2 separate regions of the Mus musculus genome follow, and region 2 is reported to be linked to region 1. The links are microRNA targets in miRTarBase. Many come from high-throughput screens and were not tested one by one. Region 1 holds a microRNA gene; the other region holds the end of a gene's coding sequence.
The links. Region 1 holds the annotated microRNA mmu-miR-291b-5p (GAUCAAAGUGGAGGCCCUCUCC, at 3,295-3,316, shown strand). A microRNA usually pairs through its seed, bases 2 to 8, with sites in the 3' UTR of a target mRNA and lowers its output. Matches are read on the target gene's strand: a 7mer-m8 pairs with bases 2 to 8, a 7mer-A1 pairs with bases 2 to 7 and ends in A, and an 8mer does both.

Region 2: the mRNA of Tlcd5 is a reported target of mmu-miR-291b-5p. Seed matches in the 3' UTR shown: 7mer-m8 at 1,257-1,263 and 7mer-A1 at 2,820-2,826.

The regions. Positions count from the first base shown.
Region 1 is chr7:3,216,200-3,221,573 of GRCm38, forward strand. Mir291b (microRNA 291b) reads left to right here and starts at 3,283; the gene lies at 3,283-3,361. Mir290a (microRNA 290a) reads left to right here and starts at 2,427; the gene lies at 2,427-2,509. Mir290b (microRNA 290b) reads right to left here and starts at 2,496; the gene lies at 2,439-2,496. D7Ertd143e (DNA segment, Chr 7, ERATO Doi 143, expressed) reads left to right here and starts at 2,585. Exons shown (of 1, transcript NR_028425.1): 1 at 2,585-4,816. It also overlaps Mir291a, Mir292, Mir292b, Mir293, Mir294 and Mir295, and 1 more gene.
Region 2 is chr9:43,106,422-43,111,795 of GRCm38, reverse strand. Tlcd5 (TLC domain containing 5) reads left to right here. Exons shown (of 3, transcript NM_001034863.3): 3 at 1-3,143. The coding sequence ends at 476. Among named protein-coding and RNA genes, the nearest start is that of Arhgef12, 3.4 kb to the right of the region's middle.

The DNA.
Region 1 (5,374 bases):
GTAGCTGCTTGGCCTACCCATTGCTGGAATTAAAAGAATGTGCCATTATACTTGACCAAACCCATATCTCTATCTGCTTCCCCAAGCCTAAGACCTAGCAAATTGCTGGTGAGGCTTGTTTGTTCAATTAACAAGACATCTAAAGTATATTAAATATGCCTGGAATTAATGACTGAACTGGGCATACTGGTATATGCCTATTCCAGCCCTTGGAAGATTGGAGACAAAGACTTATGAGTCCCCACTAACCAAAGAACACACATGGGCTGGACCTAGGCCTCTTTGCTCACATGTAGCCGAGGTGTAGCTTGACCTTCATGTGAGTCCTAAACAGCTGGAGCAGAGGCTATCCCAAAAGCAGTTGCCTGTCCCGGAGTTATGATGGTCAAACTGGGCTGCTTTGTCTGGCCTCAGTGGGAGAGGAAGCACCTAGCCCCACAGACTGGAAGTGCTGGGGGGGGGGGGGCGACTCAGAGGAGAAGACTGGGGTTGGGGGAAGGATTGTAGAAGGAGGTGACCTGGAGGGGGGCAGTGAGTAGGATGTAGGGTGAATACATTTTTAAAAATTAAATTAATTTTTTAAAAATGTTCCATTACACACACACACACACACACACACACACACACACACACACACAAGGTGTAGACTTAGGAGTCCTAAATTATTCTTGGCTATTTAATGAGCTTATGGCCAGCTTGGCGTACTTGAGCCTTGTCTCCAAAAAACAAACAAACAAACAAACAAACCCTAAACTCCAAGTCTGCAATATGCCTCTGTAGCTTTAGCCCTGCCGCCTGGAGACCTAATTTCAATCCATGGAGCTATTTAAAGATATTTAATAAATAATAATAACAACAACAATAATAATAACAAAAGAAAAACAGCCGGGCATGGTGGCACACGCCTTTAATCCCAGCATTTGGGAGGCAGAGGCAGGCGGATTTCTGAGTTCAAGGCCAGCCTGGTCTACAGAGTGAGTTCCAGGACAGCCAGGGCTACACAGAGAAACCCTGTCTTGAACCCCCTCCCCCCCAAAAAAAACATATTTAAGCATAGGAGAAAACTAACTCTATCATATTGTTCTTGGACCTTCATATTCAGTGTGGGAAAGAAAGAAAGAAAGAAAGAAAGAAAGAAAGAAAGAAAGAAAGAAAGAAAGAAAGAAAGAAAGAAAGAAAGAAAGAAAGAAAGAAAGGTAAAAAAGAGGGAGGATTTGAAACTCTGGATTTAAAAAAAATTCAAACGAAAGAATAAACTGAACCTCCCACATTCTTCCTTTATTTATTTTTATTATTATCTTAATACTGAATGTAGCCCTGCCTAGTCCCGTGCCTAGTCACCATAGTAGACCAAGCTGGCCTTGAACTAACAAAGATCCTCCAGCCTCGGCCTAGAAAACTATAGGATTAAAGGCGCTGCTTCTAGAAACAAACAAAGAAATCTGTTTCCTCTGGGGGGTGGGGGGGAGAAGAAACCAGTGAAGGTCACTCTGCCGCAGGGAAACTCAGCTCAGAGGAAGCAGGGTGGTAGAGTAAGGATTCTCCGGGGTGGGGGAGGGGTATCAGAGCCTCCCAGTCCAGGGGGCCAATGAGCCTTCAGACTATATAAGAACCTAGAGCCTCCCCCACGCCTCTCAGAGACTTCTACTCCACATCGGGAATGCTGGTCTCTGCGGTCTTCAGGGATACCTCCGGCGTGCTGCTTCTCACATAGGCAAAGGTAATATTTTTAGTTTCAGATTTTTTATTTCCTTCAGTTCTGTGGTTTTAATCTACCTGGTTTAGAGAGGCGAAAGTAGATCCAGGATTTCCAGAAGAGAGATCTTCCTGCTTCAACTTTGGAGATGACTAGCCAGGCTGGCCTTTAACTCTCATTTCTGCCTGCCTCTCTGCCTCCAGATTAAAGGTCATCACGGCCATCTTCATTCTACTTTTTAAAAACTAGAGCCCCTTTTTTAAAAGGCAGGCTAGCCGCGAACTCAGCCTTCCTCGCTCGCCCCCACGGTTTGGCTGGGTTTACTAATCCCGAGGCAGAGGCAGGCCCATCTGAGGTTGGTCTGGTCTCCAAAGAAGACATTTAGAACTAATGTGTGTGGAAAAAGAGTTGGGCTTTTTTTTCTGACTTGGTCTACATAATTTCAAGGGAGGAACGAGCCTATGTGGGGAAAGTGAGTAGTCTGGGCGCGAGTGAAGTTTGGGGACCAGAAACCAAAGCTAGGAGTTACTGAGGGCAGGTCTAGGGAGTCTATGCAGTACATTTCATTAACTACGTGGTTTCATTGTAGAAATTTTGAGTTTCACTATACCTTGAGTTAGACCGATGTACTAACTCTTCCTTGATTTCATCCAGGTTTCCTTCAGGTTGGAGTGAATTTTAAGTTCTCCACGTTCTTTCCTCCTGGTAAATGTTTTAACGTCTGGACCGCCTCATCTTGCGGTACTCAAACTATGGGGGCACTTTTTTTTTTCTTTAAAAAGTGCCGCCTAGTTTTAAGCCCCGCCGGTTGAGAAAACGGCTATCTGGCACATTTACCAGCCCTGGTGCCACGTGTTCCGGGTTAACTGCAGCGTGGTGAGTACGGATTCGAAGAAAGGAATGAGACTGAGTATAGCGAAAGGCTAGGGATGGGCATCCTGCCCAGTAGACGGTAACTGAGGTGGTCGTTGTAGGGTACCTGGGGGCTCCATGTGCGTCCTGTCGCTGCTTGGAGCTGTTACACCTATGTAGCGGCCATCAAAGTGGAGGCCCTCTCTTGAGCCTGAATGAGAAAGTGCTTCCACTTTGTGTGCCACTGCATGGGGAAAACATCATAGCTTTGCATCTGACGCATCGGTTTACAGGAGCGGACAACCTGTGTGGGGGTTTAGGCTTGGAGTTTAATGGGTCCTATCCTAAAGAGGGCGGTTCAGTTGGGTGCCACGAGACGCGGATGGATGTAAGGCAGTCGTGAGTCCAGGTGCATTGTAGATTGTTCTTAAGCTTGACCTCCAGCCTGTGATACTCAAACTGGGGGCTCTTTTGGATTTTCATCGGAAGAAAAGTGCCGCCAGGTTTTGAGTGTCACCGGTTGAGAACTCAAAACGGCTAAGAACTAAGAATTAAGTTTTAGTGGGTCATGTTTTCACTGGGGTTGCATTTCTGGGCAGGTGGGTGTCACATGTGGGTTTGAGTCCGAACACTTGGGCGCATGCGGTACTAAAGGCTTTCCGCGTTCATAAAGGAGCCGGGATCCCACATGGGCCTCGCTCGGAGGAGCTGAGCCTCAGGTCTTGGAAGTTGGAACATACAGTGTCGATCAAAGTGGAGGCCCTCTCCGCGGCTTGGCGGGAAAGTGCATCCATTTTGTTTGTCTCTGTGTGTACATGGCGTCTGAAAAGCCGGCTGCAGCTGCAACCTGGAATCGCTTACCTGCTTGAAACAGGTATGTGTGCTGGAGGTGAATTCGTTGCCACTGGCTACTCGAGCTGCAAGGCTGGAGGTGAGGAGGAAGCAGGGCAGGGTGGAAGGAGGCACTCCAGGTCCAGGGGTGGTGAGTCTAAGCCTCAGGTCTGAGTAAAGAAAGGCCTACTTTTAAATCTCACGTGGCCGCCATATTAAGTCCTCTTTCAATTTTTTTCCTTTTTCTCCAAACAGGGTTTCTCTGTAGCCCTGGCTGTCCTGGAGCTAACTCACTTGTAGACCAGCCTGGCCTCAGCTCCATCCACCTGGGATTAAAAGATCCTATATATCTTGCTTGACTACTGTAGTTGCTATATCTTGCTTGACTACTGTAGTTGGACTGATGGTTGTGAGTCTTGATATGGTTGGATTGAATTTTTAGGACCTGCTGGCTGTAGCTGACTTTAACCTGGCTCCTAGCACAAACAAGCTTGGTGGACAGCCGGGTAGATAATACCCATAATACCTTTTGGCTTTACAATAGCCCAGGCTCATGAGGGCTGGGATTACAGGTGTTACATTGTGTGCCCTAAGCATAATCTTCATGGATTCTCTTTGTTTTTCAGGTGTTCCAGTTGAGTTGAATGTAATCCTGCCTAGCCTGGGGTACTTACTTGCCTTCAACCTGCCTGGCTGGCTGGTCTGGCTAAGAACTGACTATAAAGTTTCAGGTTTATTACCACAGCAGGTCCCTGTGGAAATGCTTCAATCTGTGGTACTCAAACTGTGTGACATTTTGTTCTTTGTAAGAAGTGCCGCAGAGTTTGTAGTGTTGCCGATTGAGAAACTGCAGTTGGCCTAAGTGTTGCATCATTTGGGTGTCATCTGTGGGTATGATTCAGTCTGTAATGGGGCAAAAGTAAAAGCTGAGGTGCACGGAACCTCACGGGAAGTGACCCAGATTTGACAGGTACTGTATTACATATAGCTGCATTTATCCTTTTGGCATTGAATAATCCTTAATCTTCAGTTCAGTTGTAGGCATGTTTGGATCTAGCGAAATTCCATATAGCCATACTCAAAATGGAGGCCCTATCTAAGCTTTTAAGTGGAAAGTGCTTCCCTTTTGTGTGTTGCCATGTGGAGAAAGCATCGGAACTTCAATCAACCAGAGACTCCTTGCTTGCTCATCTTGGTGAGACTCAAATGTGGGGCACACTTCTGGACTGTACATAGAAAGTGCTACTACTTTTGAGTCTCTCCTGTGGGCACCATTCACAGGTCGGCTGCTTTCATGCATGTGTAGTGTGTATCTGAATCCAGATGAAGGTTTCCTGGAACTGGGACATGTGGGTGCTATTGAATGAACCAAGGTGCTATGGGAGCAACCAGTGCCCTCAGCCTCCAAACATGAATAATAAAGTCTTGTTCTCTTGATTTTGCTGCTTTCTCAGTTTTTGTTTTAAAACACCCGCCATGGTTCCTAGGGATAAAAAAAGCTTGCAAGCATGCAAGCACCCTTTTAATCACTGGGGTTGAGACTAAAGGTAATCCTGGGCTATACAGAAAAACCCTGTCTGAAAAAATCCCCAAAAGTTAAACCAACACATAGCTGGAAGTGTTTTCAACAGTAATAGGGCACCTTTTGGGAGACACCCCTGTTTGCCTCTTGGGATTTAGGCATGCCACCCCTCCAATGGTTTTAAGGAAGAATTACCCTGTACTAGCTTAAAGGTGCCTTTAAGCATAGCCACATTTAAGCCCACATTTGTTTATATACTGTGAGTCTTTTCCATTTCTATACATCATGGCCAGTTCCTTTTAGTGGAGTGTCTGGATGGTTACAAGCTAACCTGAAATGGGGTGGTGCCAGGTTTTAAAAAGTAGTGGGTTGGGGAGCAGGGTGTGGGGGAGGATATAGGGGACTTCTGGATAGCGTTTGAATTTAATATAATAAAGGTAGATCTCTGGGTACTGTACTGGAAGTGGGCGGAG
Region 2 (5,374 bases), not on the chromosome of region 1:
ACTTGGGCTGGTGCATCTATTTCCAGTCCGAGGGTCCCCTGATGCTGGCTCATCACACACTGAGCATCCTGGGGATCATCATGGCCCTAGCACTTGGGGAGTCGGGCACAGAGGTCAATGCTGTACTCTTTGGAAGTGAGATCACCAACCCGCTGCTCCAGATGCGATGGTTTCTCCGGGAAACTGGCCACTATCACAGTTTCACGGGGGATGTGGTGGACTTCCTCTTTGTGGCTCTGTTCACTGGTGTGAGGATTGGTGTGGGCGCTCATCTCCTTTTCTGTGAAATGGTCTCACCCACCCCCAAGTGGTTTGTGAAGGTTGGGGGTGTGGCGATGTATGCTGTGTCTTGGTGCTTCATGGTTAGCATCTGGCGCTTTGCATGGAAGAAAAGCATCAAGAAGTACCATGCGTGGAGAAGCAGACGGAATGAAGAGCGGCAGCTAAGACACAATGGGCATCTCAAGACACACTAGTCAAGGCTTGTCCCCAGTCAGTGGATTGGATTGAATTGGTCATGGGACCAGGGTCAGAAACAGAGCTAAGCTTATAGGGCTTAGAAAGCGAGCACTTAGGTTTCAAAAAAGGGCTAAAGGTATGGTTATGACTTCAGTCATTTTCCAGGCTAAGCATATGCAGTCTTGAAACACCTACTCCTGTAGTGGCACTTGTACACCCTCAGTGATGATTGACAAGTGGGCAGAGCTGTTTAGTGATGACCACTGTCACTTGTTTTTTGGGTCCCCATGTTCATTGGAGACCTTGGTATTCAGACATCTCTGAAAAGAACTTGAGTCAAATCAGTGCTGTTTCTTGTTCTTTTGGAAATAACTCCTTCCCCACACTTACTCCTGATTTCCACGAGACATTTTAAGTATGTTCATCCCATGTAAAGGGAGGGACTCTCAGGAAGGGGCATGGGTCAGGCATTCAAGTATCTGTGAATGGGAGCTGTTATGCCAAGAGGGACAGAGAGGAGGGAGTGAAGCTAACAATGGCAGGAACTTCTCACTGCGTCTCCCTTCACTAACTGTGCCAGAGGTTACCAAGGACACCCTCGGCTTCCATGATTCATCAAGAAGACTCAGGGCTTTCATCTGCAATGATGAAAGGATACGGAGAAGACTCAGCAAAGGGAAAAGAACCTTTGTCCAAGCTCATGGGATCTAAGCACTCGCTTCTAGTCTCTTGCTTGGATATACAGGAGTGATTCACAACAACACACATGAAAGTCATCAAACACTTGGTGTCCCAAACTTTGATGGCAGTAGGTCATGTGCTTCTAAGTAGCGTGAGGCAACATTCCAGATCCCCCAAAGCGGTCATTTGGCATAAGCCATAGTGTTTCAGAAACAGTTTAGGAACAGTGAGGCAATCTTAACAGTTTCTGGTGGGAGCCCTCACCAACGTTACAAGCAGGCCTTTGCAAGGATAGCAGCTCAGGGTTCCTGTGTTAACTCTGTGTGCACAGAAACTGTAGAGCTAGTGCTTCAGATGCAAGATGAGTGAGATGTGGGTAGATTTAGATTTACTTGGTCCAGTTGTACGGGTTCTGCCCGACCAGGAAGAGTATGCCAGTTCTCAGGGCTTTTGTGAATTAATCTGCTAGGCATGAGAGGCCATGGCTAAATTCCACGGGGATTTACCATGTGGATTCCACTGTACTTGAGATGGAGTTCAGGTTTCAGCTCCTGGTACATACTGCAAACTAGAACCAAAGATTTTCATGTATGTGATAGCCTCAGGCTCCTTCCTTCCTTCCTTCCTTCCTTCCTTCCTTCCTTCCTTCCTTCCTTCCTCCCTTCCTCCCTTCCTCCCTTCCTCCCTTCCTCCCTTCCTCCCTTCGTTTCTTCTTCCTCTACCTCCTTCTTTTCTTACTTTTTCTTTGTTTTAGATCCCCCCCCCCCCCTTAAATCACCTTTTCCCTTCTCCTGAGACACTGTCTTGCTTGTATAGTTCAGGCTGGCCTTGAACTCTATTTTTCCACTTAAGCTTCCTCAGGGCTAGGATTACAATCCTGTGCCACCATGCCTGGCTCCAATGTAGGGCTTTAATGGAAAAAAAAAAGTATTATCTGTTTGTGCATTTGTTGTCTTTCCTATATTATTTAGATCAATGGTGACTGGTTAATTCAGGTGGTAAGCCAGGAGATGGTGCTACTGAAGAAGCAAGGTTAAAGGTCAGAGAGAAGTGTCAGCCCATTCTATAGTCACTGGGGACACTAACCCAGTGAGCAGCATTACCTACAAAAACCAGTCACAAGGGAGGTTGAAAACGTAGACATTCTTGCAAATGGAAAGGTTCTTTAACAGTAAGTAGCTAAAGAGGTATCTTTTAGCTGTCGGGCTTTCGTTTTTGTTTTCTGGACAGATAACACCATGCTTCCTTTTCTCTGATTTGTGTCATAGATATGTTGGTGTGTTCCTTTGAGAAGTCTTTTTTTTTTTCCTTTTTCAGAGCTGAGGACCGAACCCAGGGCCTTGCGCTTGCGAGGCAAAGCACTCTACCCAATCCCTGGTGGTGGTGTGTTCCTTTCCAGCAAAACTGTGGGCAGAACTGGAAACTGGGGAATGCTGACTTCAGCAAAAGCAGAGTCAATAAGAGTGGCTTGGCACATAGGCATAAAGAAAAAAACAAAACAAAACTGGCTTTTGTATTTTGGCCCCGTGTAACCTGCTCCAGACCAGACCAGGGAGCAGGCTTAATCAAATTCATGCTGGTTCCTTTCTCCCTCCCTCCTCAGAAGGAAAGGATTGTAGATCTTTCTGTTTGAGGCAAACTCAAGCAAATGCCTGTAGGTTTTTATTTATTTATTTATTTTTGATAACAAGGCACCTGAACGAGCGATAAGTGGGGAGGAATTCCTCATTTCAGCTCTTCTTGATGGTCTAACTAGTAACTATGAGGAAAGTCAGAGATTAAAAACCTCTTGAAGATGACTCAGCAGTTAAGAGGTTGCCTGTTTTTACAACCCAGGTAAATGAAGGGCAGACTAGTGTGCGATGTGTCCCCAGACACAAAAGGGGACACTTATTTGCATTTGAATTACTGTGTAATCATCCCTGATATTGCTCAAGAAGGATTTATATTTCAATACGATTTGTACTAAATTTTATAGAAATAAAATAACTTTCTATAAACCCAGAGTCTGCCTTCGTATCTTTGTTGCGGTTTTACCAAGGGAGAAAAGCCTCTGGCTTGTAGAAATGTTGACAGTAATCTGCTCTTTAGCATTAATCATTCCTATTTTTTATGTGGAAGATAGCAATCAGCACACAATCAGTGCAGAAAATAGTTTGCCTAAACGTGGAGGAATAATATTCTGATTTTACCAACTGTTTGAGCAGTTGCTCCCCCACCCCCAGTGTCTCAGGCCTGCTTGACAAGTACTCTACCACTGAGCTACCTCCTCATTCCTACTCCCCCTTTTTGAGACAGGGCTTTGCTCTGTAGCACAGGCTGGCCTGAAACTCACCATGTAGCCTTCCTCCAAATTCACAAGTCATCCTCCTACCTCAGCCTTTCAAGTGCTGGGAGTAAAGGTGGAAGCTACCATAACCAGCTAGACAGTGGATTTCTGATGCTTACAACAGTCCTGGGTACAGCAGGCCCTTCATAAGCACATTGAAGCAGTGAATAAGAGGATAAATGTGGCCTCGAGGATGTTCCACTGGAAACTGCATGTCCAGGGATTGGGTCACTGGTGCCACTTTCCTAGGTAAAGGGCTATGTGTGACCTAGGGAAGGGACCTTGGTTTGCTTGGCTCTACTGAAGGCATTCCATAGGTAGACTCTTAGTGGTGAAGTTATAATGAGCCTTTTGTCAGGATATTAAAAAATAAAATCAGAGCCTTGTGAGTGATTAGAGATTTTCATCATTGAAACAGTAGTTATTCAGTCCTCTGCTGACCATCTTCTGAAAGCTTTCCCACAGCAAAATGCCGCCTTTGCTCACAGCTAGAACGCTGGGGCTGTAAAATTTGGAAAGATGTTGAAAACAGCTTGCCAAAAGGTTTTGTATGCAAGGAAGAGAAGGTGAACTAGGAAGTGTTCCCAGTTTGTCTCACCCCTGAAGCTCAAGCATTGAGGCAGGCTGGAAAGGAAGACGGGAACTTATTTTTAAAATTCATGATTTGATGAGTCATCAGACCCCCCCCCCCCATTCGCTTGATACTTGCATTGTGACATTAGTAGGACAAGGGAGAAGAGGACAGCACACTCAAGAAAACTCGAGTAAGCTTGGGGAGAAGGTTCACATCTCGTTTATAGTGATGGATGTTTGGAACTCTTTCCAACGATAGGTAGAAACAAGTTGGAGTCTTCAGGCTAGAATTGCCATGTTGGGATTTACCAGCAGATGGCAACGTGTCCAGGTCTGATCGTTAGGAAAGTGGCTTGGAACTCCAATCTGCTTCTATTCTTTCCAAAAATAAACATTACAAAATTAGCTGGCTGTGCCCCGAACTTAAAAAAAAAAAAATCTAGCGAGAGAGTCATTTCAGGCTTCTGTTTATCTTTTCCCCTTTGCCCCCCATTCTAACGTCACCTTGAGCTCATGCATCTATTCAGGGGTGATGATCCGATCGTTTCGCGAACTGTTGTGGAATGACTTAGAAACAGCATTATTAAGAGGTAATTATTTCCTTTCCACACCCACTGTTTATTAGATTTGATTTCCACAAAATGGCCGAAGTCTCTTCCCACCTACACGGATTGAAGCTCAGAAGAGACTGAAGATAATTGTATAAAAGGAATAGTCGCTTGATGTTTACAGGCAGAATTGGAGAACTATATTGTGTCGTGGTCCCTCATTTCCTCAGGGACAGATTTATTCAATCAGAAAACTACATGGTTAGCTGAATGTCTCTACCCCATCGAAAGAGAAACCAGAAAACATTTGGGAACTCTTCAAAGGGATCCCTCGTGCTGTGCTGTTTACCGGACAGATGTATTACTTCTTCCATCTCTTTTCACAACACGCTTATTAACTTGCTGTGGAAAGCACCATGCGTTCTCAATTTGGCAAACAATACAGTTCATTTTGCCAAGGCAAAACAGCCTAAAAGCAATATTTATATCAGGAACTCCTGGCTTAAGTGTGGGCCCAGATCCTTTCTCCACAGCCTCTTCTGGCCATCCCCCCACCCCTTTCCCCTCCGTGCTGTGGGACTAGGCCAGCAGGTGCCCCAGGTGATTGGCTCACCCCAAAACCTGTGTGTGTGTGTGTGTGTGTGTGTGTGTGTGTGCGCGCGCGCGCAGGTTTGCCTAACACTGTCGGGGGCCCGTGGACCTGGGCTCGCACGCAGTCATCAAAAGCATTTGACACCGGGAACGAATACATTCTCTTAAAGAATAAAAGTTTCCAGCCCGGGAG